Linked DNA regions of Lonchura striata. The protein of the gene in region 3 interacts with the protein of the main gene of each other region in a biochemical or structural test. Links are inferred from orthologs where the notes say so. Each region holds a gene or a part of one and is shown on either strand. Other genes may lie near its edges. The genes, in order: ficolin-2, CFH and PTX3.

The links.
Region 1: the proteins of PTX3 (region 3) and ficolin-2 interact in a biophysical measurement, tested with the Homo sapiens proteins (2 studies listed by IntAct, with this or other methods). The link is inferred for Lonchura striata from reciprocal best matches to the Homo sapiens genes PTX3 and FCN2.
Region 2: the proteins of PTX3 (region 3) and CFH form a complex in vitro, tested with the Homo sapiens proteins (3 studies listed by IntAct, with this or other methods). The link is inferred for Lonchura striata from reciprocal best matches to the Homo sapiens genes PTX3 and CFH.

Annotation. Positions count from the first base shown.
Region 1 is NC_134624.1:6,029,993-6,038,034, forward strand, and holds the start of ficolin-2, read right to left. Parts: upstream 3,097-8,042; 5' UTR 3,066-3,096; coding exon 2,987-3,065; intron 2,173-2,986; coding exon 2,059-2,172; intron 1,330-2,058; coding exon 1,276-1,329; intron 1-1,275.
Region 2 is NC_134611.1:26,443,123-26,450,522, forward strand, and holds the start of CFH (complement factor H), read right to left. Parts: upstream 3,065-7,400; 5' UTR 2,923-3,064; coding exon 2,862-2,922; intron 1-2,861. UniProt on the Homo sapiens protein: Glycoprotein that plays an essential role in maintaining a well-balanced immune response by modulating complement activation.
Region 3 is NC_134612.1:26,001,844-26,008,750, reverse strand, and holds the start of PTX3 (pentraxin-related protein PTX3), read left to right. Parts: upstream 1-3,889; coding exon 3,890-4,037; intron 4,038-4,521; coding exon 4,522-5,034; intron 5,035-6,907.

The DNA.
Region 1 (8,042 bases), on a different chromosome or scaffold from region 3:
AAGTTCCTAAGAAAGCCTAAGAATGCCAGTTTCTCAACAGACATTGTCCTCTTCAGGGGTTCATCCCATTTTAAAGGAAATGTTGTCCTGTGCCATTGTTTGATCCCGTTCTGGTCAAGTGGGCACTGCACACTGAGTTGAAGGCTGGAGGCTGCTGAAAGCAATGATGTGCCTAGGCCTGAGCAGCAGGCCTAAGCCAGAGTAGACTTACAAGATGGATCATGAATATTGTGTGACTAACACCATCAGTATTATTTACCTAAAAGATAGATGACAAAGATGCTTATGCTAGCTGTTTATAACCTTGTGTAGTTGTCTGCCAGAAATGTATCATTTTAAGAAGCTTTTCCAACTGAGAGGCTTGTTTGTAAGGTATTTTAGGGGAAAACCCTCCCAGCCAAGACCTGGGCTCTGAGCACTGGTCCTGGCTAAGCAGGAAGCATGCCATCAGACGCAGGCATTCCTGAGCTAAAAATAAAATCAAGTCATTTTGACTAGCTGATTTGGGCCTATAAACACTGGACTCTCTTTCAGGGCAAATCTGGAGACCACACCTATGGATACACCATGTAGGATTTTCCCAATTGCCCGGAAGGGTTGTCCAGGTCCTCTCTGTGAAACAGGGCTCCCCAGTGACTGGATGATTTTAAAGTATTTAGGCAATTGGTGATGTATCCTTCTAAATGACTATCCTGTCTCTCGTATAGTAATGATTATGTGCATTACCTTGCTAATTTTTGCTTGTTGCCAAAGCCGAGCATGTAGTTTTATTGAATTTATTATTTTACTCTGTTGCCTTTATATTCATAGTAAAATAAGATCATTCTTTCCATTGGTATGTTCTTTAAATTGCCCCTGGCAATTGGCAGAACAAGCACTCAGCATAGTGCCTCTGCATCAGGCCTCTGGGCTGAAGATCCATAGAGAGCTCCAAAGCTCCTCAGAGCTAGGGGGCATTTGGGCAGGCTTGTTATGCTGGAGGCAGGTTAGGGTAGGAGTGGAAAATGAGGAGAAGTCTGATTTTAGGGTCAGTGAGAAATTTCAAGAAGAGTGTTATCTTCTTCTGTGTTGTGGTCCCAGACACTCAAGGATACTGTTTCTAGTATTCACTCCATGCAAGAGCCATACCCCAAATCAGGCTTTTCCTATTCTACTTCAGCACTATTTCTTAGCCTATGAACAGTCCTGCAGTTCATCTCTGTAGACCCAGTCTCACAGTACATGTCCCGAGCTTGGGGGCATTTACAGATTAGAGCTGCATATGTTTCACATTACCTTTTGCACCAGGTGGTCCTGCTTTCCCGGGGAATCCCTGGTCTCCCATTTCTCCTGCAAAGAGACTCATTTTTTATGGGTATGTTACAAACTAACCAAAGCAGGGAGTCACCTGGGCAACTGGGCCTTGGCTTTCACTGAAACATGGGAGCTGAGGTAATCAGATTCAATCTTGTAACCTATTTTACTGTACTTTTACCTTAGTCCTTTTTTTCTATTGAAGCCTTACTACTCTGGTACTGCCATTCAAAGTCTAAATTTGCAGTTTAGAATTCTTAGGAGCTTTGTTACATTGTGGAGCCAGTCCATGGATTTTACTGTGGTGGATCATCTCGCTCAGTTGATGTGATTCACCTTCTCTGTGCATTGGCTATGAAAACTCGGAAGGACCCCCATCTCCCTTGCTCCCCAGAACAGGGGTTGCCAGTATATTTCCCACACTGTTCCCCCAGAAAAAGGCAGGAGCATCTCAGCCTCCCTCCCACCCAGATTGTTGGATACAGCCCCAAAAAATAAATGGATTATTTTCTGCAGAAGAAACAAATGAGACACTTCACACCCCAAGATCACATCAGATTGACAGGACAGGACTCAAGGAAGAAACAGGTCACTCTATGTGTACCAGCATATATCTAATTGGGGTGGTTTCCACTTCAATTCTCCAGTTCCTCACAGCAGCCAGTGCCAGGCCAGCTACTGCTCCAGACTCAGCTTGCTTCCCCTATCCAAAGCAACAAAACCATCTCATCTCAGGGTGCTCATCACTGGCTTTAGGGGCCTTACCTTTTGTTCCTGGGAGACCTGCTTCTCCTTTTGGGCCAGAGACACCTGGGATCCCTGGACATCCTTGAAGAATGGCAAGTCGGTCAGCATCACCCAGTCCCACTATTCTCACCTCTGAGAAATTAAGACAGTTTTTGTGAAGATTATTAAGGTTCTGAAATGTCTTGGAGAGGAAACCAAATCCTTTGAAGTTGAGGAACAGTGTAATCAAAAGCAACAAGTATGGAAGTTTTGAGGTGTTGTATGGATTGACAGATGGCATTGAGGATCTCACATATTAGAGAAGCCAGACTCTGCATCTCTCTGGCTTCAGGGGAGTTCAGTGTGAGAGGAGGCTGATATATATGACATTGCATGCATGATAAATATACTATAATTAATAAAACATAAGCTAAGAGGTGCCCCAATGGGGTATTGATAGCAGAGTAAGTGATGGATCTCTGGACAGTAAGGGTAAGACTTCTTCTGAATTTCCTGATGGCAGGTCTGTTTGAAATTGCCCCAGGCCTTCCTGGGGAATACAGTCAGAATGCTGTGCTGCACAGCATCCCCAGACTGATCTTTTATATTGCTCTGTATCCTTTGGTAACTGCACTGAGGCCCTACTAAAAAAAAAACCCCAAACGGGGGAGGGCAGGGGGGGCGGGGGGCGCGGGGAACCTCACCAGAGACTGTCTGTTCCTAGAGACCCCACTGGTGAGGGAACAGTGTTACATCACTAGTTGGAGACAGTAGCTTTCTTAAGCAGCTGCTGAGACTTCAGCCTCCCCAGTACTCTCCTCCCACTGGCAGCTGAATTTAAAAAAGCAAAGAAGAAAAAAAAATCATATGCTACTTCTCCCCCTCCCTTTGCAACCTCCTTCTCTTATCAGGGGGGATGAAACAGGCTGTCTCAGTGAGATAGCAGTAAGATTTGTGCTTTACTCACCTGAGCAGGTGTCCTCAGTATCACAAATAGTCACTCTTAGGCTGAGTAGTACCAAAAGAGCTGGGATTGCTGTCTCCATTGCTAGCGCTGCTCTCTGCACAGCTCCCCTCAGCCACTTCCTGGGAGCTGTGGTCAGCACTGACCCATCCAAGCATTTTATATCTAGCAGACAGCCTCAGTGCAAGCTCCACCTCTGTACTTGCCCACTGGCTGCTCTCAGGTCTGGGGCTTGGCTGAGTCTCAAGCTGTTTTGCAGATAAGCTGCTTTCCAAAAGTCTGATGGGAAAGTTCTTGCCTGGCTGCCCCAGCCTGCCTCACCTTTGTCCTCTGCAAATTTTGGATGCCTTTTCCTTCTCATATTGTATTTCTAGAGAAAATAAACCAGCAAAGCCATATTTACCTAAGTGTAGACAGCTCCTCTCATCCTCCCTGCTAGTAGCCCTTTAGGAAGAGCAGAACTTACTGTGTAGATGGGGAAACTGAGGCACAGGGAGTCTAAAGCCCAAGGTCAGCTGAGGCCAGTGGCAGAGAGAGGCTACACATTCCTGAGAGCCTGGCTCACATTCCAGCGCTCTTCCTGCCTGGCAGCCCAGCACCACTTTGCATGCATGATTCATGAATGACAGAGTTCAAACTCAGGCAAGGGTGGGTAGACAGAGCATGTTTGATTCCCCCCCCCCTCAACTGTTCATTGTACTAGTGAGCAGGATTTCTGGTTTCTTTCACCCCGTGCTTTGCTCATTTCTGCCAGGTTATTAGAGGTCCAGTCTGCTTCCTCCTATTATTTTCAGACCCAGAACCTGTAAAGTTTATGAATTTTAGTAGAGGGAAAAACTTACATTTTTCCTCCTTATTGTTACATCCCAGTTCAGAGGAGACTGATTTATTGGAGATTTTTTTTCCCGGGATATCAGATGCAGAACACAGCTCCCCCTCAAGCACTTCTATCATAACGTGCCTCTAACAGCCCAAGTGCCAATGATACATGACAGTTTAATGTTAAGCAAATGGAAGAAGGTTAGGGAGAGGTAAGTATTTGATTGCCACTTAAATTCAGCATCTCCCATATAACCCAGATATACACTTATACACATGTTCTTATTTATATATGTAATAATATAAAATAATAACCCAGTAGATGTTGCAGTTATTTTAATTCCTAAGAAACAATTCTGGCAGGGAAATGTACTTTCCTTCTCCTGTATGGAAAAATTGCAGAATAATCAGAGGAATTGTGACAAGATGGGCTGCATTATAGTTTGGGTTTTGCTTTACATGAGAAAAAGCATCTCACTTGTGGCAACTGCTGTGCTGCAGTTCTTGGGACAAAATGAGATCAGATCCTTTCTTCCTTCAGGAGGAAGCCTCCCAGAAGGAAAGAGAAAAAGGATTGGCAGGTGCTAGGGAGGGAGAGATCCATGCAAGACAGATCTAGGGTGACTGTGAACTGTACACCTCTTTTCTCATCTGTACAGCCTGTGCTGTCCATCTGCAATAGACTGATGTCTGGACTATGGGGCAGATGGAGGTAATGTAGAGCCAGTCCCCTGCACTGAGAAGCCTTCTCCTGCCCCAGTGCCTCTGCTCTCTTTGTGGAAACAGCTGCAATACCTTGTTTCAACTGGAGGCAAAAGCTGCTGCTTTCATCTGTTTCCCTTTTGTAAATTACTCCAAAAAGCAAAGGCCTTGCAGATTACCCCATAGTTACAGTCTCTCTAGGACTCCAGGCTAGATCTGTCCAGACAAATCTAAAAATAAATAAAAAAGGTCTGCCTGGGTTTTTCCAGGTTCTCCATTAGCAGGTTCCATCTCTGGGTTGGGCTGAGAATGTATGTTATGAAGGCAGCTGTGATATATCTGCCCAGAACTAATGCATCCCCCTAAGTGTTACCAGCTGTGGGCTCCATCCAGCCTGGTAGACATTAATGTCTCCCCATTTTCACCTGGGAAAGAAGCAGTGTCCTTGTTGATGCAACTACTTTTGGAAGCAGGGAGGAAACTGCCAATGAACAAGCTTAGTCCAAAGTAGGTCAGACTCCCCAGGGTATATTTTGAAATTGGCACAGAGATCGATATGTCCTTAATTGCTTTTTGTCATGTGAAGGTTGCAGAGGGCTTGAAAGTATACAAAGATCTTACATCAAAGAACATCCTGACTTCAGATAATCTTGACATATTCCACATTTTGCAACACTACCAAATAACAAACATGATTTTGAAAAGATGATCTTCTATTTTGAAAACATTTTAATTTTTTTCCTCAGTGTTGCTATTTTGCAGGAAACTTCAGAACACATACATTTCAAAATACAAATTATTAAAATTCAGTTTCCCAGATGCTTCAAGGTAGAGAAGATAGCTCAAAATAAGGTAACTTTCAGCTTCTTTTCTAAGCCTACTCACCCATCACCCAGGCCTCATCCACTACAAGAATGTTCTGAGCTCATTGGGCGAAGTTTTCTATGCATTTCAGTTATAGTAATTCCAAGACAAAATCCAAAATTATTCCAAAATTAAATACAAGAGACTTTAGAAAATGTTACATAGTGTTTAAATGTCTCCTTCACCATCTAGAAAAGTAGAGGCTACTTTATATTACAGCATGGCTCACTGCTGCTCTAGAGAAAGACATACTGATCCTTCAGGAATAAGTGACTTCCCAGGAAACAGAAAATCAAACCTTTTCTAGAACTGCTCACTATAATTAATTTGTTTTACATTGGTGTAAATTCTGCAATCATTCACTTCCAGGATAACTGCAAGACATACCTCCTCTAGATTTTGGAGAGAAATACACTGAAGACAATGTTTGGTGCATGCAGTAATGTTTTAGAAAAAGGTTTTGTTTTTCCTCTACTTTCTGTTATGGAAGCTGTTGTTTAGCAACCACCCTGCTGAAGTCCTCACTCTGGAGACTGGTGATGGAAACACAAACCTAAACAGACAGTCTCCAGCTCTCTGGTTCTACTACAGAACTCAGAAATGGCCAAAAGAAGTAGTCTACAGCAGTAAAAAAACAACAACAACAACAAAAAACAAAACAAACAAAAAAATCCATTAAAAAAAAGAGGCACTAATCCTACCTAGATAGTCTAAACAAGTGTATGGCAGCATCCCTTAGTAACATGATACAAGACCACTCACCACAGAAGTGCTGTCTAGAAGCTGCAGCTAGGTAGAGGAACAGCAGTGAAACGTCTGTTGTCAGAGTTTGGGAGCATCAGTAAGACATAACTTGCATTTGCTCCAGGCTCAAAAGTCCAGTTTGTGATCCTGTACAACAAACTACATACTGCGGCTTTTGGGGGTCACTTGCTGCTGTCCCCCATCCCTCCCCGGCCCCCCGGGACCCTCCAGCTAGCTGTCCCCTCTGGGGACCAGAGTTTGCCACGGTCCCGCTGCCCTGGGCTCACCAGGCAGCGGCTGGGTTAGCACGGTCCGAGCACCGGCATTGCCTCGGTCGCTGCTAGGAGTCGAGATAAAGAGACAAAGAGAGGCCAGTGGTATGCTGTCCAGAGAGATTGTATTGCCTGAACAGTGGCAAGGACCAAAGACCCTGGGCTACTGCCCATATACAGTTTTATACAGCAAAATTAAGAAATAAGGTCTAAACAATAGAGACAGTGTCCAGCTTAGACACATCAGAACCACCCCAGGGGTCAGGCCCAATGGGAGCTGCTCAGGGGTGGGGAGAAGGGGATTACAGAAAAATGCTGAAGTGAAACTTTCCTGAAACAATGGGGCATACAGAAATGTATCTTTTCCTCAGTTTCCCATTCCCAAGGCCTTTCTAAAACCCTTCCTCCACACTACCATGCCAGCATGATAGCAACACATACTGTTTCCTACTAGAGACCATATGCTTTCCATCTGGAACACCTGGCTTTTTCCTTTAAAAGTAGCATAAAAAATAAAGTTATTTCTCTTGCTGGAGAAAACTTTGTCTGTGGTTATTTTCTGAATGATTGCCAGGGGCCTAAAAACAAAATAGCAATTGTCTGCTACAAAAATTAACCCCATAAGCCATGTGCACTCTATTGGGTCCAAAGGAAGGCTATCTGCTTTATCCGAGTTCAACTGCAGCCTAAAGTAGTAACTCAGCATTCTGTAAAAAATGGTAATTGTAACTATCTCAGCAAATATGGCTTTTGAAGATACCAGCTGTCTCTATTTTACAGGATTTAAACTCCTTACTTAGCTTGTCTCATAGAGATCATCTTTAAGTTCAATGGTACAAGACTTGAGTAGGGATATAGGATGAATGCGTGTCCACATTTGGCAGCAGGGCAGTGCAGCTATACAGGAGCCATACTTGTCTTGGCTTTGTATGGTTTCCTAATGCTATGAAATGAGAACATCTAGAACCTCCCTGCAGTAGCTGAATGGGCACTTGCAAGCAGCAGCTGGTAGTTTTTACTAGCATCTCCAATTTCTCCTCAGAATATTCTCCCCAGCTACCAAAATCATCTTAAAGCCCCTAAAATTTCCCAGCACCATTCCTGTCTCCTTGCATTTCTGTCTCCAACATTAATTGCAATGTTGCTAATTCCCCTTATACCCAAACTCCTCCATCATTCCTACAGCAACCTTCTCAAGCCCTTTATCTGTTTTCTTGGTTACTACTTATTTGGCTTAGAGCCCTTGATAAGGTAGTTCATTATTTAGAGCATGTGCTGATAGAGCATTGCCATTGGAACACACAAGGGTACAAGATTTCCCTGCAAGATGTTCCGGGCTATCTCCTATTTGCACAAACCATTTTTAATTCTTGAGGGCTGGGGAAACAGGAAAAATTGCAATGGCTAGAGCAGAAACACTGAAAGCAAACTGGTGCCCAGCTTTGTTTCCTTTAAAAGACTAAAATAGCAAATCTTGAACAACACAGAAGTGCGACCATAACATTCACTTTGCATTAAAAATGCTGTTGGAGAGAAAGGAAAAATGATCAAATCCTCTGTTGGCATTCCAACAAGCATTTGCAGGACTAGGGCTGTACCAGTACAATTTCAAATAATTATCCAAACTGATATTGCTTGCAAGCTATCTCCCTTAGCTT
Region 2 (7,400 bases), on a different chromosome or scaffold from region 3:
AAATATACACATTTTGGAAGCTGAACAGAGTAACAGAGTCTGAACAGCCTAGCTAACTAAATGCAATCAACTCTGTTTTCCATCTGAACATGAAAGGTGAGCATTCATCAGGAATAAATAAAACAAGCCCTGAGGTAATAAAGCCTTGGGAAAGGAATGAACTCTCTGTATAGAAAGTAAACAGGAGAAAAAATGCCCACCAGAGAAAGAAATCCTGTGGTGAGTAGATACGTTATTCAGCAGAGACCTGGCACAGATGTCCTCTCCCCACTTAACTGTAAGGCCGTGGGTTTGAGAAAAGAGCAGCATTCTCACTGAAATCTTCCTACAGGTTGTCCAGATGCTGCCTGGAAATAGGACTATGGGACAAATCTTTGGGATCTTTCCTCATGTGAGGGATGTGGAGTTAAAGCTCACTGAATTGCACTGCAGAGATGGCACCACATATTAAGTAGCTGCTGTGGAAGAAGGTGTATTTTATCTGCTCACTTTGTGTTAGCAATCCCAAGGTGTGGAAAGTGAGTTTTACTTGAGTTTACAAAGACACATCCTTGAGAACTCACTTGTTGTATTTCAGTCAGGGGAGTACTGACCAAATTAGAGGCATAATTTTATAAAATGGTTTTAAAAATGGAAAAAAAAAAGATTTGTTGCAAAGAAACAAAACCACATTATTTGAAACTGTATAATTTGAAAGTTATGTCAATTTTGAGCTTTGATAACTTTAGTTTGGCTGTTTTAAGTAGCCAAAAGAATTAGACAAGCTTTAACAATACTGCTGATGTGCTAAAGGAAGAGTGTGCTCACACCCATTTTTTCCAATTACTTTGATAAGTATTCTCCCTCCTATGAATGATTGCATCTGAATAAAAATTATGTTTCTGTGCACTAGAGGGTACTAGGCTACTCCAGAAACTGCGGGAGAGGCTTTTTTAGCAAAAAAAAAAAAAAAAAAATACAGATTCAAATTCTAACAACATTTTTTGCAAAATGTAGGAATAAGCAAAATGAACAGGAATCCTCTAGCTGGTTCTTTCAAATATGTTAAAAATTGTTAGTTTACCCAAAAAGTTATTTTCAATGGCAAGAAAAAGAATGTTTATAATTCCACATATTTCTAATTATATCTTGTTTGAATTAGCACTTTCAGTTTGCAAGCTGAGAGCGCACACTGAAGTCTCTAATTTAAAAAATAGGTTATTGAGTATAGTGACAGCTTCTCTATTCCTCCCTCTGAATTGTATCATATTTTTATTGTTGTGCAGCATGCACCCTCTTAACTCTTTCTTGCTTACCTTACACTCCCCTTCTGATGAAAGATCATCTCTTTAGTCTCTTCACCATTACTAAGATTTGCTGGGTCTCACTGGGTTTTATCTCAACTCTTCCCCACTCCTGCCCTGATGTTAAACTATGTGTTACCATCAAGTGTCAAGAGTATATGTATGTGTATATATATGTGTATGTATGTGTGTATGCAGTTTCTTAGTGGCTTGAGGTGAAGAGATCAGCTGACAGGTTGTCCATCAAAACTATATTAATTCCATCATGTACCCACCAATACCTGAGGGTTTTATTTCTATATTAAAAAGCATGCACAGAATGGATACCTTCAAATTCCTTACTGACAGACCAGGAGAGCTAGAATTACTCATTCAGTATTTACATTTGACTTGACCTCAGTTAGAAATAGCTCAAGCTGCTTTTTTGGCAACAATATGCTGGTAGCAGGTTCTAAAAAGTACAAGCACAATTACAAATCCAGGTGCAAGTGGCTTTCAGTCCTTGTGCAAAACCCAGCACTCGGAAGACTTTCCACAACTCTCACAGACTTTCAGCATGAAGCTTAAACAAGAATGCTGCCTGACCCATGGTAATAGTTATCCTGGATAAATCAAATTTTGCTGAATTCACATTTCTTTCCAATCTCCCTGACCTAAAGAAAGCACTGTGAAAACAAAGTGCAAATTCAGGCAAACTTTAGTTTCAAATTCCAGGACTTTTCTGCACTTCTTTGCAAACAAAATAGACTATTAGTTGCTTTGAGGCAATATTTATTTATATTTAAGATAGGAGATTACTTTAATTTCCTGATTTTTCAGTTTTTCAAAGTAAAATCCATTGGATCTTTTTGATTAATAAGGTCTTCATAACTTTTAACTAAAATTAAAACCATCCTGAACCAAGCAGAGACATACTAGCTCAAAACCACACAGCACCCTCTGCATAACACTCTATGCCAAGAAACTCAGACATAAAGCAAACAAATTAAATAACGAAGGATATATTAAATGATATAAACACAAACCGAGAAAAATACATGGAACAGAGAAACAGAAACATCAGCAGTTTCTGAAAAGATATGTAGCTACCTCTTTAAACATGAAAAAAGCATACCTGTATATATTTATCTCCTTTCCTAGACTAAAACCAGTCAGTCAATAGATATATTAGAAGATTTTCAGTCAATGTAGTAATCACTCATCTTCCTCAGATCACCTTACACGTTGTTTCAGACAGAAACAATACATTCCATAAATGTACATTTCTATTTTAATCTACCAACTGCTTCCTGGTTTTAGATATTAGAATAATTAGCAAATGTAATTAATAGAAAATTAGTTGTCTGCCTCCAGTTTATAGTGATATAAAGCATTTGAAAAGTTGGGCAAGAGATTAACAACAGCAAAATAAATAGGTGAAAGTAATCCTATGACAGGACACTAAATACTAAAGGTGCTAAATGCTGCCAGAAGAAATGTCAATTATTGTCAGAGGTTCATGAAAAACCCTACAATGCCTTTGCATATTGCTTTAGTTGCCACCTTCATATACACTCTAAGAGAGGAGTTAAATCTTACCTCTTTCTGCAGCACAATGCATCCAACACAAGAGCAGAGCTGCATAGCCCAGGAACAACATTCTAGAGATTCAAAAACTCAGCAAACACATCCAGTGTTGTAGCCTACTTTTTTCCCACTACTTTGTGTTATTTCCACTGCTTTTTTACTTAACTAGTCCATGGACTGACCTTGCAAAACATTTATACTCTGATTTCAGTAGTCACTTCCCCTAAACCTCTTGCAACACACAAGTGTTTCTTTTTTTTTAAACCCCCTCTCTAAACCTTGCTAAATGAATAAATAAACAAATGCCTGGCAATTTAGGTTGACACATTCCTTTCCCTGTGGTCTGCTCCTTTCTACATCACCCTTTTTTTCCCCCCCATATTTATCCCTTCCATGATCACAGAAGGTTATGTCTTTTGATATCTAAAAGCTGTACAAATAAATTATTTTGCATTTCCTTGTGTGTTATATGCTTAGTTAGGAAACAAATTCATGTTAATTGTGTGCAAAAATGAACTTCTCTACACATATAATTCAAAATATACGTTGCAAGCAATCAAAACAAAAAGGCAAAACTACAGAGTGACTAAGGGGTTACTCACTGTTTCTTATAGAAGATCACCAACTACCCACAGCAAAGGAAATGTATTTGGTCATATTTCTCATTAAATAAACCCAGGTGATGTTGAAGCACTTTAGTATCACATGAGAAATGATAAGATGGAAGATCTGAATGGATTGTAACAAAGATAATGAACCTTCCAAAGAAAAATATAAAACTATGCAAAAAGGAACATATATATATATGCCTAACAAAGGAACTTCCCATGGGTCTGTGTAAGCAACAGTCTTATCAATAGTTTCATAAAATGTTTTGGCTTCACAAGTGCTCTCTGGTGAAAATGTAGATTATATGAAGAGGATTGCTTGAGACTGAGAATTAGGGAGAAAAAAAAAAATGTAACAGTACAAAGTGCTCACAGGAGATGGACATAAAACAGATACAGGCCAGATGCTCCACAGTGGTGTCTGACTAGATGGAGTACACACAGATCCATCTCGTATATGTTCCCAAAAATCCACACAACATATCCTTAAAAATCACTAGCTTAGTTTGTGTGCTGCTATAGGATAAAAATGAGTGTCTACAGAACAGATCTCAAATCAAACCAATCTTAAATGCAATTCCACAGCATTTACAGCAGTTAAAACTTTTTCTCTTCTTAAAATGCAGGTGGAATTTTTTTTTTAAACTTTGGGCTGTGTTTTCAGTCACCAGTTCTAAATAACGGTCTTAGTAAAACTGGCATTCAGCTGTTTCTCCTACAGCAATGACTTCAGAGAGCAAAATGTCTCTTCCTTTCCCTTCCCCTTGACAAATGACTCCTGTGGAGAATGAATTCTCACCGTGCTCCATGACCCTGTGATGATCGATCTGCATCCAGTTTGCAGTTACTGGTGCACACCTTATCAGTAAATGGATATTTCATGCACCTGTCAAAATTGCAATTTCTCCAGTTTTAAGTATTAAATAGTCTGATGTGATGAAGCTCAAACTGCTTTTGCGTTATTAATCCACATGTCAAATAATTATGGACTTGAATACAGTCAAAGATACTTTCAGGTACAGCTAAACCACAACTGGAAGGGGTATCACAAATTTCCTGACTGCTGTCTATAAATACAGACATTGCTAAAACTATTTAAGCTAAAAGATAAGCATGCAAAAACAGATATAAAATGTCTATGAACAAATTTAAACTGAGAATTAGAAGACTCAGCTGGTAAAGCTTTGAAGCAATATTTGTATACACATAACATAGGCCTATACAAAAAAATCATCTTCAATCACAAAGCAAGAGACCAGACTCGGTCATTTCCAGTCCTGGGTTTGTGATCTTCTTAGGTAATTTATTAAACTTACCCTAGGCAAATGGAAATAGAATCAGAAGCTTAAACTTTCTTTCCTTCCTCACCTCATCCACGGGCTATCAGTTCAAAATTGATTGTCTTTAATTGGGTCTCACTCGGTTTAGCCACCTCCAGTCTCTACCAAAACAGAGCGCAGAGACAAACCATGCCTCAGGACTTCTAAGGCAAGGAGAAAAACCCTCATCTTTAGAGTTTACCTCCTACTCATGAGAAAGGCAGAAACGTCAAAGTAGTTATGCAACTAAGAGCAGCTGGATTTCATCTAAGGAAGCAGAGCTCCTGTTTTGAGAACTGGTGTGACTGCACTCAAAATACTGCTGTGGACACAGCCAGACAGCCACAATATCACAGCACATTCCCTGTGTGAGCAAAACTGCATGTCAAGGTGTGTGATCATAGGAAAGTACAGGCTGGAAGTTATCTTGCCCAAAACTCCTCCACAAGGCAAAGTCAGTGTGAGGTCAGAATAAGGTTTTTATTAGTTCCTTACTCAACATGGAGGCTTAACATCAAAGTTCAGAGTGTTTGTCCAAGCCAGAATAATTTTGAGACCAGTGTTTGGAAGCCATTTTGTGTTAGGAACAGAGATCTCAGGAAGCCAATGTATTCTGCAGGGGACTAATGTTAAGTGGCAATAGGAGCTTAGTTAGCCACAGCTGAAATAGCATCTCTGGCCAGTATAATTTCAGCATGTTCTAACAGCATGCTTGCTGTCACACTTGAGTTTAATGACCTCATTAGAGCACACAGAAGAATCAGCCACTGCTTTGCCCAACAATTGTCATGAAAATGTCTTATCCCACTGTATTAATAGTGAGGTTGTCTTTGCAACCTCAACATTTGTCTCTCCTCCCACTGGTACAACTTCTGTGACTCATGATTACATTAAAACATCACTTAACTGCTACAATCACAACCTAAGGGTGTGACAGGGAAAAAATTCTCACTTGATTTAATTTAAAACAAATCATAATCAAACTGGTTTATTGATTTATTAATAGAATACAATTAACTGGCAATCGCTGGAATATAGTTTCAGATTCAGTATGGCCAATACACTGTTAAACAAAATGTTAATCAACACCTAACAAATAAAGAACCATTGTTCACTAATCCCCCAAAGCTCTAATCATGCACACAAAGCTGTGCACCCACCCACCCACAGCTATACTCACAGTTTCCCTCTAACAGGTACTCCTGTAGTAGATGTGGGTACTTATTTTGTACTTTACTGCTCCTTAACACCTGCTAATGCACACAGCAGGGAGGAAACACCACACCCCAGCTTCGAGTCCCTGCCTGTCCCACCTGCCCAATCATTGCGGGAGTTGGATGAAGGCTGCTGGAATGTCCACACAGAGTTTTTGATGCCAGAGGCTGAATGTACAACAGTGTCAAACCCACCTCTTCTCGTTTTGACCACTTGCTCCATTCCCACTGTTTTCCCTCCTGTTACAATTTCATTTATCCCATACAATTATTTGCAAGATGGTCCTTCCCTTTTTCAGAACTCACCTGCTAACTTCCTAGTGGTTCATCATCCCCTTTAACAGGATCAGCTGTGGCACAGGCACTCTCAGACACTTTTGGATGCTTGAACTTGTGTTCCTGTCTTAACAGCTGATGCTCTTCAGGCCATTTCATCAAGAACGGGTCATGGGAGCACCCTTGAAAACCAAAACACAATATTAAGAATTGTTTAGGAATATTCCTTCTGCTTCTTCTAAAGTAAATTAGATAACAGCACGTGCTTAGACAGTAGATCTATCATGTCCAATTCTAAAAGTAATATAAACCCACTTCTGATTACTTGTGTTTAAGTATCACCTCATTCTCCTGCCTTGGTGCTCTATACTCAAAAGTGAAGTGAAAATAACTTGAAAAGGTGTTCTTTGCAAAAAAAAGATGTTCTCCTCCTATATAAAAGCAGCTGTCAGTAACCCTACTTGTAAATGAAGTAAGTCCTCCTACTCGCAGCAAGTGAAGATGTACTGGAAGGCAATTCCCAGGTTATCAGCATTTCCCAGCAGCTTGCTCTCCCATGACGCAGTGCTGCTGCTCTCTTGTTCCTACAGCTCTTTTCAGGTCACCACAGACACCAGAGGGCCGGGGTGCACCAGGCCCAGGTGGCCCTGATGTGTGCACTGCTCCTTTCAGATCTGCTCTCTGATGGTTTAGCACAGAAGAATAAAAGGATCAGGTCAGATTGGATACCCTGTGTCTCTAACAACTCTAAAGATCATGTTTGCAGTGCAGAGTCCTGCTCACTGTGCTGTGGAAAACACACCTTCTACCAACTACCACTGCAGTTTAATTAGATATATGAAACCACTTTTTTTTTTTTTTTTTTTTTTTAATGCTTTCAGTGGAATTATCAAATTTGAAATTCTTCATTTTATTTTCTGCCCCAGCTTTGGAACTTTACAGTGACCTTAAAACTCTGTTCTCACTTTGGGCTATTTCAGTCTGTTACTGTTACTGAATCACTATCAAACCTTTCATGCCAGCAGAACAGTTTGCTACTGCACAGCCATTTAAAAAAAACAGGCATCAAGTGGAAAGATAGGAGGACTCCAAGAACATTTTTTTCCCCTGAAGTTTAAACTATTCCAAACATTG
Region 3 (6,907 bases):
ATTATTTATCATTTTATTTATAAATATCATAAGAATGATGCTTAATGAACTTTCAGTTTTGGATGATGCTCTGTTGAGTCCTAGGTCAAATTACGTGTAATTTCAATTAACAAAGAGACAAGAGAAGAAAGAAGGAGAGAAATGACAAAGAAACAACAAAACCAACAAAAGACAAAAACTACAATTCTCCTTTGCTGAGATTCAGATTTTCAAATTAAATAAGCATCATATGGAAGGAATAGTTGGTGAACAGAGAACTAAACGTGCATTTGAACAGAAATAGTTAAGCATGCCATTTCCAGGAATAGAAAGGAGCCAGAGAGAGCCAACTGCAGACAGACAGAGATATGCTAAACCCTCTCTCACACATTTTCTTAAGATGTCTGTGCATAATTCAATTTGAAGCCCAGGCTCAAACCAAAATATATAACTTCACATCGCAGTACATGCCTGCCTCAATGGATTTAAGTTTCACTTGAGCAACATATGGAAAACATCTGCCCGTTGCAACCTAGCATGGCTCCTTTTTGTAAACCCTTGGAAGTCCTCACGGCCTCTTTGGATTTGGTTTCCAAGAGGAATCGGATCTCTGCTCTGGCCTGCTGCTTTTCCTCCCATGTACATCTGAGCCCGATAACTTTGGAAGATAAGCAGATCTGATCATGGATGGCAGGAAAAGGATATTTGGGTTCAGACTGGAGCACGTGGGGCTCTTGCCAGATACAGAAAATGCACCCCAGGACACGGCTGGGTCTCACAGCCTCCCCCTGAGCCAAGAAACGAGCACATAACTCAGGGCAGCTTCAGACAGCTCTGAGCCCAGCAGCTCCTAATGAGCCCTGAGGGTCCTTCTCCTTCACAGGAGTGGCTCTCCACTCCAGCCAGCCACACTTCTGCACCTTGTCCTGCTTGGAGAATCCCTGGCTGCTTCCAGGAGGGGATCCCTGCTCTGAGCTCCCCGTGCAGCCCCAGCAGTGCCAAAGGCCAGCTCAGACCCCACTCCCACCCCACCGACACGGCAAATTTATCTTGTTCTGTTCTACACAGTCACAAAGGCCAGGGGCAAAGGAGAGAGATTTGCTGATGAATCACCCTGAAGAGATGAGCAAACTGCTCCACTCTGGCCATTTTCTAACCACGTTCCCTGGGCTCTTCCTGATGTTCCCAGTGGACCTGGACAAAAACGTCACCACTAACGTTCCACGGGATTGATGCCAAGCACCAATTCCCCCAGAGGGAGAACCTGGAGATCAGGAAAGGTTCTTCCCCAGAGGTGCTGGCACTGCCCAGGCTGCCCAGGGAATGGGCACGGCCCCGAGGCTGCCAGAGCTCCAGGACAGCACTGCCAGGGATGCCCAGGGTGGGATTGTTGGGGGGTCTGGGCAGGGCCAGGGGCTGGACTGGAGGATCCTGGGGGTCCCTTCCAGCTCAGGATATTCAAAGATAAAAAGGTGAGAGGATGGATTCACAGGAAATTTTCTAGACTCGCATCATGGTTTGAAATGGAAACATTTTGTACTGAATACACCAAAAATTATTTTCTCTCCGGATGACGTCGTGCTTCCAGCACTAAGTCCTCTCTTTGCACTTGCCCTTGCTTAGCTTGCACTGGGAGTTTTCTGCCCACATGGAGCAGAGCTCTTAAACTTCAGTCAAATTTCAGCAATGATTGCAAAAGATGAAATTCCCATATTCCTGGACAGGCAAATTTCCTCCCAGCTATAGAAGTGTGATGGGAAGGAATCCAAGAGGCAGTAACAAAATTAACAGCTTTAAGCAAGGAAAGACACCAGCCTGAGCCATGTTATTGCCTAAGCTGGGATGTCAGGGATAGGAAGGGATCTGGAAGGGAAGTCTGATTATTCAGTCTGGCAAAGGAGCATTTGGAGTGGGGGGTGTATCAGAGGAGTGATGCAATCACAGATGATGGACTGCAGCCACCAAACCTCTCTAACAAAAAATACTTTGTGCTAGAGCAGCTTTGGGCAGCTTCCTGCAGCAAACACTGCTGGGCTGATATTGCCTAACCAAGATAAATGGAAAGCAAAGGCAATCAGAGCAATCCCCTCCCTCTGCAGTGAGATTAAAGTGACCTCACTGACATGGAATTGCTTTCAAGTGAAGAACCTGTGTGCACACATGTAAATAATCCCAGATATCCCAGTTTGGATCCGTTCTTCAGAGACCTCAAGGAAGGTCAGCAGGCACAACCCACCTGGCCACTTTCTGGTCTTTTCATGTTTGAGGTAGCAAGGGATACTCAGAACTGTTTGTTTGTCACGTCTTTACAGGCTCTGAGGGGATTTATCCACACCCAGCTCCCAGCCCCCTGATTCCCAGAGTTCAGACAGCCAGAGGTGATACTGGGAATTCTGAATAATTCACTTGTTCCCAATCTTGCTTCATCTGCCTCAATCTAAACTAAGAGCCTGCAAATGTTTGTTGTGAGAATGGAAAAACCATCCCACTCAACTCCCTAAATGCTTTCCTTCCCTCTTCCTTCCCTGCCACCCTGACCCCCAGTACTTTCCAGATTAGATTTCCTCACCCTTCCCAAGCAGACCACACGCTGGGAATGACACAACTGCAGCACACAGTGTCCCACAGCTGGGGACACTCCGTGGCTGCACAAGGGGCAGGGAGGGAGCCCAGGGGCGTGGTGGGGTGGTGCCAGCCCTGTACCCCTTCCTGGCAAAGGCTGCCCCGAGCTCCAGCCCTGCCCATCCCAGCAGCACAGAGAGCTGGGGGAGAACAAGGCACCTGGAGCACATTGCAGTGTCCCATGGGCAGAGGGATTCTCACTCCAAAGGGAGCTTCCAAAGACAAAACTCAAACACCAATTTTTCCCTGGGGGTGATCAGGTTTGGCCCATACCTACTGGAAAGTCATGGAATCATTTAGGTTGGAAAGGACCTCCAGGACCAGAGTCCAACCTGTGCCCGATCCCCACCGTGTCCCCACCACCCTCCCAGGGAGGAATTCCTCCCCAGTATCCAAGGCACAGGTTAGTGCAGGTTTGTATAAGCAAAACCAGAGACACAAATGGAAAGGGAACACAGATTCCATGTCAGATGTAATTACAGGAGGGTTTTTTTGCTATTCTCTGGATATTTCATAGCAATACACAATTTGTATGAGATCACCCCTAATCTCACCTAAGAAAAGCATCTCTGACATGATTAATGGCCTCTTGAACCAATAAGATTACAGATCTTAAACCAGATTAATACCATTAAATCTTAGATTAAATTAATCTTTCATCCAAAAGCACCTTTTGCTTTTTCAAAGGTAACAGACACAACTCTGTGCAGCTGCAGTTCCCAAAACAGGATACAGCACTAACAGATTATCCACGGAGTAATGGTGGTGTAACTGCTAATTAGGACTGGAAAAGCAGGACCCTAACAAACCGTTAGAACTCCTTAAGAGCTCTCCTCTATTGCTTAAAGCAATAAACTGTTGGTATGTAATAGAATTTATTATGCAGCAGTGCCAAACTCTCAAAAAAAGTTGCGCTATTTAGCTAAACCGGTGTGTCCAAACCAACTCCAGGTATGTTTATTTTTCTACCAATCCCCTCCAGAGCCCTGGCACACACCGAACTTGCAGGGAACACTTTCTTTTCCACAAACGACGCAAAACAACCCAAAGCGACTCCGCCCGCGCAGCCCGAGCGCTCGCAGCCCCCTGCGATGCTGGCCGGGGCGAGCGCGGCTCTGCCCTTGGCCGCTCAGAGCATCCCCCGGGCAAACCTGGAGGGCTGGGATTGAGCAAGCTGCCCGCCCCCTTCCTCCCCTTCCTCCCTCCCTTCCCCTGGCGGCCAAAAGGCAGGGCAGGAGCGCTCGGCGCTCATTCATTGGGGCTCCGCCGCAGCCCCGGCGCCGGGAGGATGCTGCCCGCAGAGCTCCTCTCCCTGCTCACGCTGCTCTGCGTCTTCAGCGCGGCCGCCTCTGCCGTGGATGAAGACGATGACTACGAGCTCATGTACGTGAACCTGGACAACGAAATCGAAGCTCCAGCCCCTGCGATCGAGGAAGGTGAGTAAACGCAAACTGAATTGAAGTGCAGAACTGCCTTCGGTGCTGCCGAGCTCTTGTAGGAGTTACTACTGCAAACGTAATTTACTTTTTCCAGAGGGAGAAACTCGTGCTCGTAGCAGTGGATTATTGTGGGCAGTAAAGGTAAAGCCCTCGGATGGGGTGCCTTGGGCTGTGCTTTAGGCTCTTGATTTCTCAGTTTTCCTGCAAAAAGCTCCTGCTTTTCAATCGCAGGGGTTTGGGATCTCTGTAATCACACCCCTGCACTGTTCTGTCCCGACACAGAGGGAAAGGCACTGGCCCCAGCATGGCAGGGGGTTGGAACCAGATTGTCTGTAAGGTCCCTTCCAGCCCAAACCAGTCTGAGTCCACGACTCTGTGGCAGTCTGGAGGACACGAGCCTTGCACAGAGCCAGATTTTGCCAAACGCCGCCGTTTAGAACTCGGTACAAAGGCACGGCAACATGTGTACCTTCCCTTCCAGCTGCTTCGTGCGACTGCCAGCGGGAGCACAGCAAGTGGGACAAGCTGTTCATCATGCTGGAGAACTCGCAGATGAAGGAGAACATGATGCTGCAGGCTCTGGATGAGCTCCCCAGGGTGGAGCTGCAGACCCTGAAGGCAGAGCTGAGCCAGCTGGCCACCACCCTGGCGGGCACCTTGGCCACTGTGACCTCGCACGCGGTGTCCCAGGTGGAGCAGGCGCTGGCGAGGGGCAGGGAGCAGGCTGAGGAAGCCAGGAGGCTGCAGGAGTCGGAGCAAGGGAAGGTTCTGGAGCACGTCCTGCAGCTGAGCCACAACGTGTCGGCGAGGCTGGGCTGGCTGGAGAGCGCCTGGCGCAGCAGGGCCCAGGAGCAGGAAACAGCTCTGCAGCAGGACAAGCTGGATGCCAGAGGGGACAGCCTCATCCTGAGCTCGCTGTGGAAGGAGCTGCAGCAGACCCGGGCTGAGCTGAGGGCATCACAGCAATGGGCAGCTCAGCACCTGCTGCCAGCAGGTAAGGCAGGGTGAGAGCTCTGGGGAGGCCACTCCAAATTAACAGGGATCCACACACCCCCTCCTGGGCACCTCCTTCTCCAAAGCAGCCCCAGGAGCAGCAGGGCAGCTTTGAACAAGCTGTGTGTGAAGGGGGGAACCCAAGAACTCATGGAGAAAGAGGCACTGAGCTTTTCAAACGTGGGATCAAAGAAAGGTTTCATCAAAGTCCTCGTGCAGGGCAGAGCCAGCCAGGTTCCCACCTCCTCAAGGCTCTCCCAGATCAAAGCCATTGTCAGAGAGCAGCAAATGTATTTTAGACATCCAGATTATGTTCTGTCACCTTTTGCCTTCCCAGCTGGCGACTCCTGTGCGTTTGCAGCAGTCACAGAGCTCTCTTGTTCTCCTGCACGTTTCCATTCCTTCCTCTTCCTCCATGAGCATCTCCTCACCAGCTCCAGTGTCCAAGAGCTGGACACGCTGCTGCCAGCCAGCCAAGCACACTTCCAGGGCAGGGAAGGCACATTCCCTGCATGCCAGTGGGAATATTCTGCCCTGAAATTCCCACTGGCACAGAGAAATCAGTAACCCGTGCTGCTGTTGTTTGGGGGATTCTTCCCTTTCCAAAACATTTGGGGTGGCTGTAGGAAGGTGGGCTCATACCTCAAATCCCGACTCAGCTTTTCTGTGCAGGGCAAGGAGACACCCAAAAACAGCAGGAGCAGCAGCTTGGGTGTGGCAGAGCAGCCCCTCACTTGTTTAAATGTGGCTGCAGAATCACCACGAAATGGCTCTGCTTTCCACAAATATAAATTATTGCCACCTAAACCCCCCCCAAAATCTACCCCCGCAGGGTGGGTGCGTAGGAAGGAGGGGGTGCAGCATCTCCAGAGGGAACTCTCCCACCAGGGAGCAGAGAGGAGCAGTAATTGCTGCAGCAAAGGCAACAAAAGCCACAAAATTCTTCACATCAAAGCTTTAACAGCCCAACCTGAGCCCATCCCTTCATGCAGGGCAGACTCGGCTTTAGAAGCAAATTGTTTTCACTGCTTTATCACAACACCTCAGAACGCTGGGATGAGGTCTTTGGGCATATTCCTCTTTTCCCCAAACACAAACCTTCAGAGAGCATGATCTCATTCCTTATCTCCCTGCACCCCAGCCAGCCTCAGCAGCTACTCTGCACTAGGTGAGAGCAGCAAACTCGATCTGCATTGAAGATCATCAGTGGAAATTCAGTTTATTTCCACTGGTTCCCACATGATTTTACATAAAACAACCGTACTTGTAAATTTAAAGGCTACATTTTAAGTACTTCCAGAGTATCTCTCTGGATTTTTTTTTTCCAAGGGAATTTTTAGCAACTGACTTTAATTTCTCACATCTTGACTTACTGCCAGCCATACTCTTGAGGGATTTTCTAATCACACTTTTTTGTTCTTCACTGAGGCTGGTTTTAATTTTGTTGAGGCTTTGATAATAGAGCCTGAAAGCCTGGTAATTAAAAGCTTTTTCACAATAGTGCTCCTAAGTAGCATTTTAAGGAGAATCCCCAACAGTTGCTCACTGACCCTGCCCCTCCTCACAAGGGTCAATGGAAGATGTAAAAATCTGCTCAAAGTTGGAGGGAAGCAACCCATGAAATACCACAGCAGCTCAGTCCTGGAGGGCACAAAGAGTCCTTCATTCCCTGGAGCAGAAATTTCCACACACGTTTTAGACATTTCAGATCCTCCAGCTTCTTTAAACAGGAAATGAAGCAGCTTAATTGGAGAAGGGGCTGCTTGTTCCCTCCTGTCACCTTGGATATTAACTTGGGTGCAACCAGGGAACAGCACAGAAACCACCAGAAATGTCTTGGCTTTACTGATCACCAGTTGCTTTCCCAAGCTGCA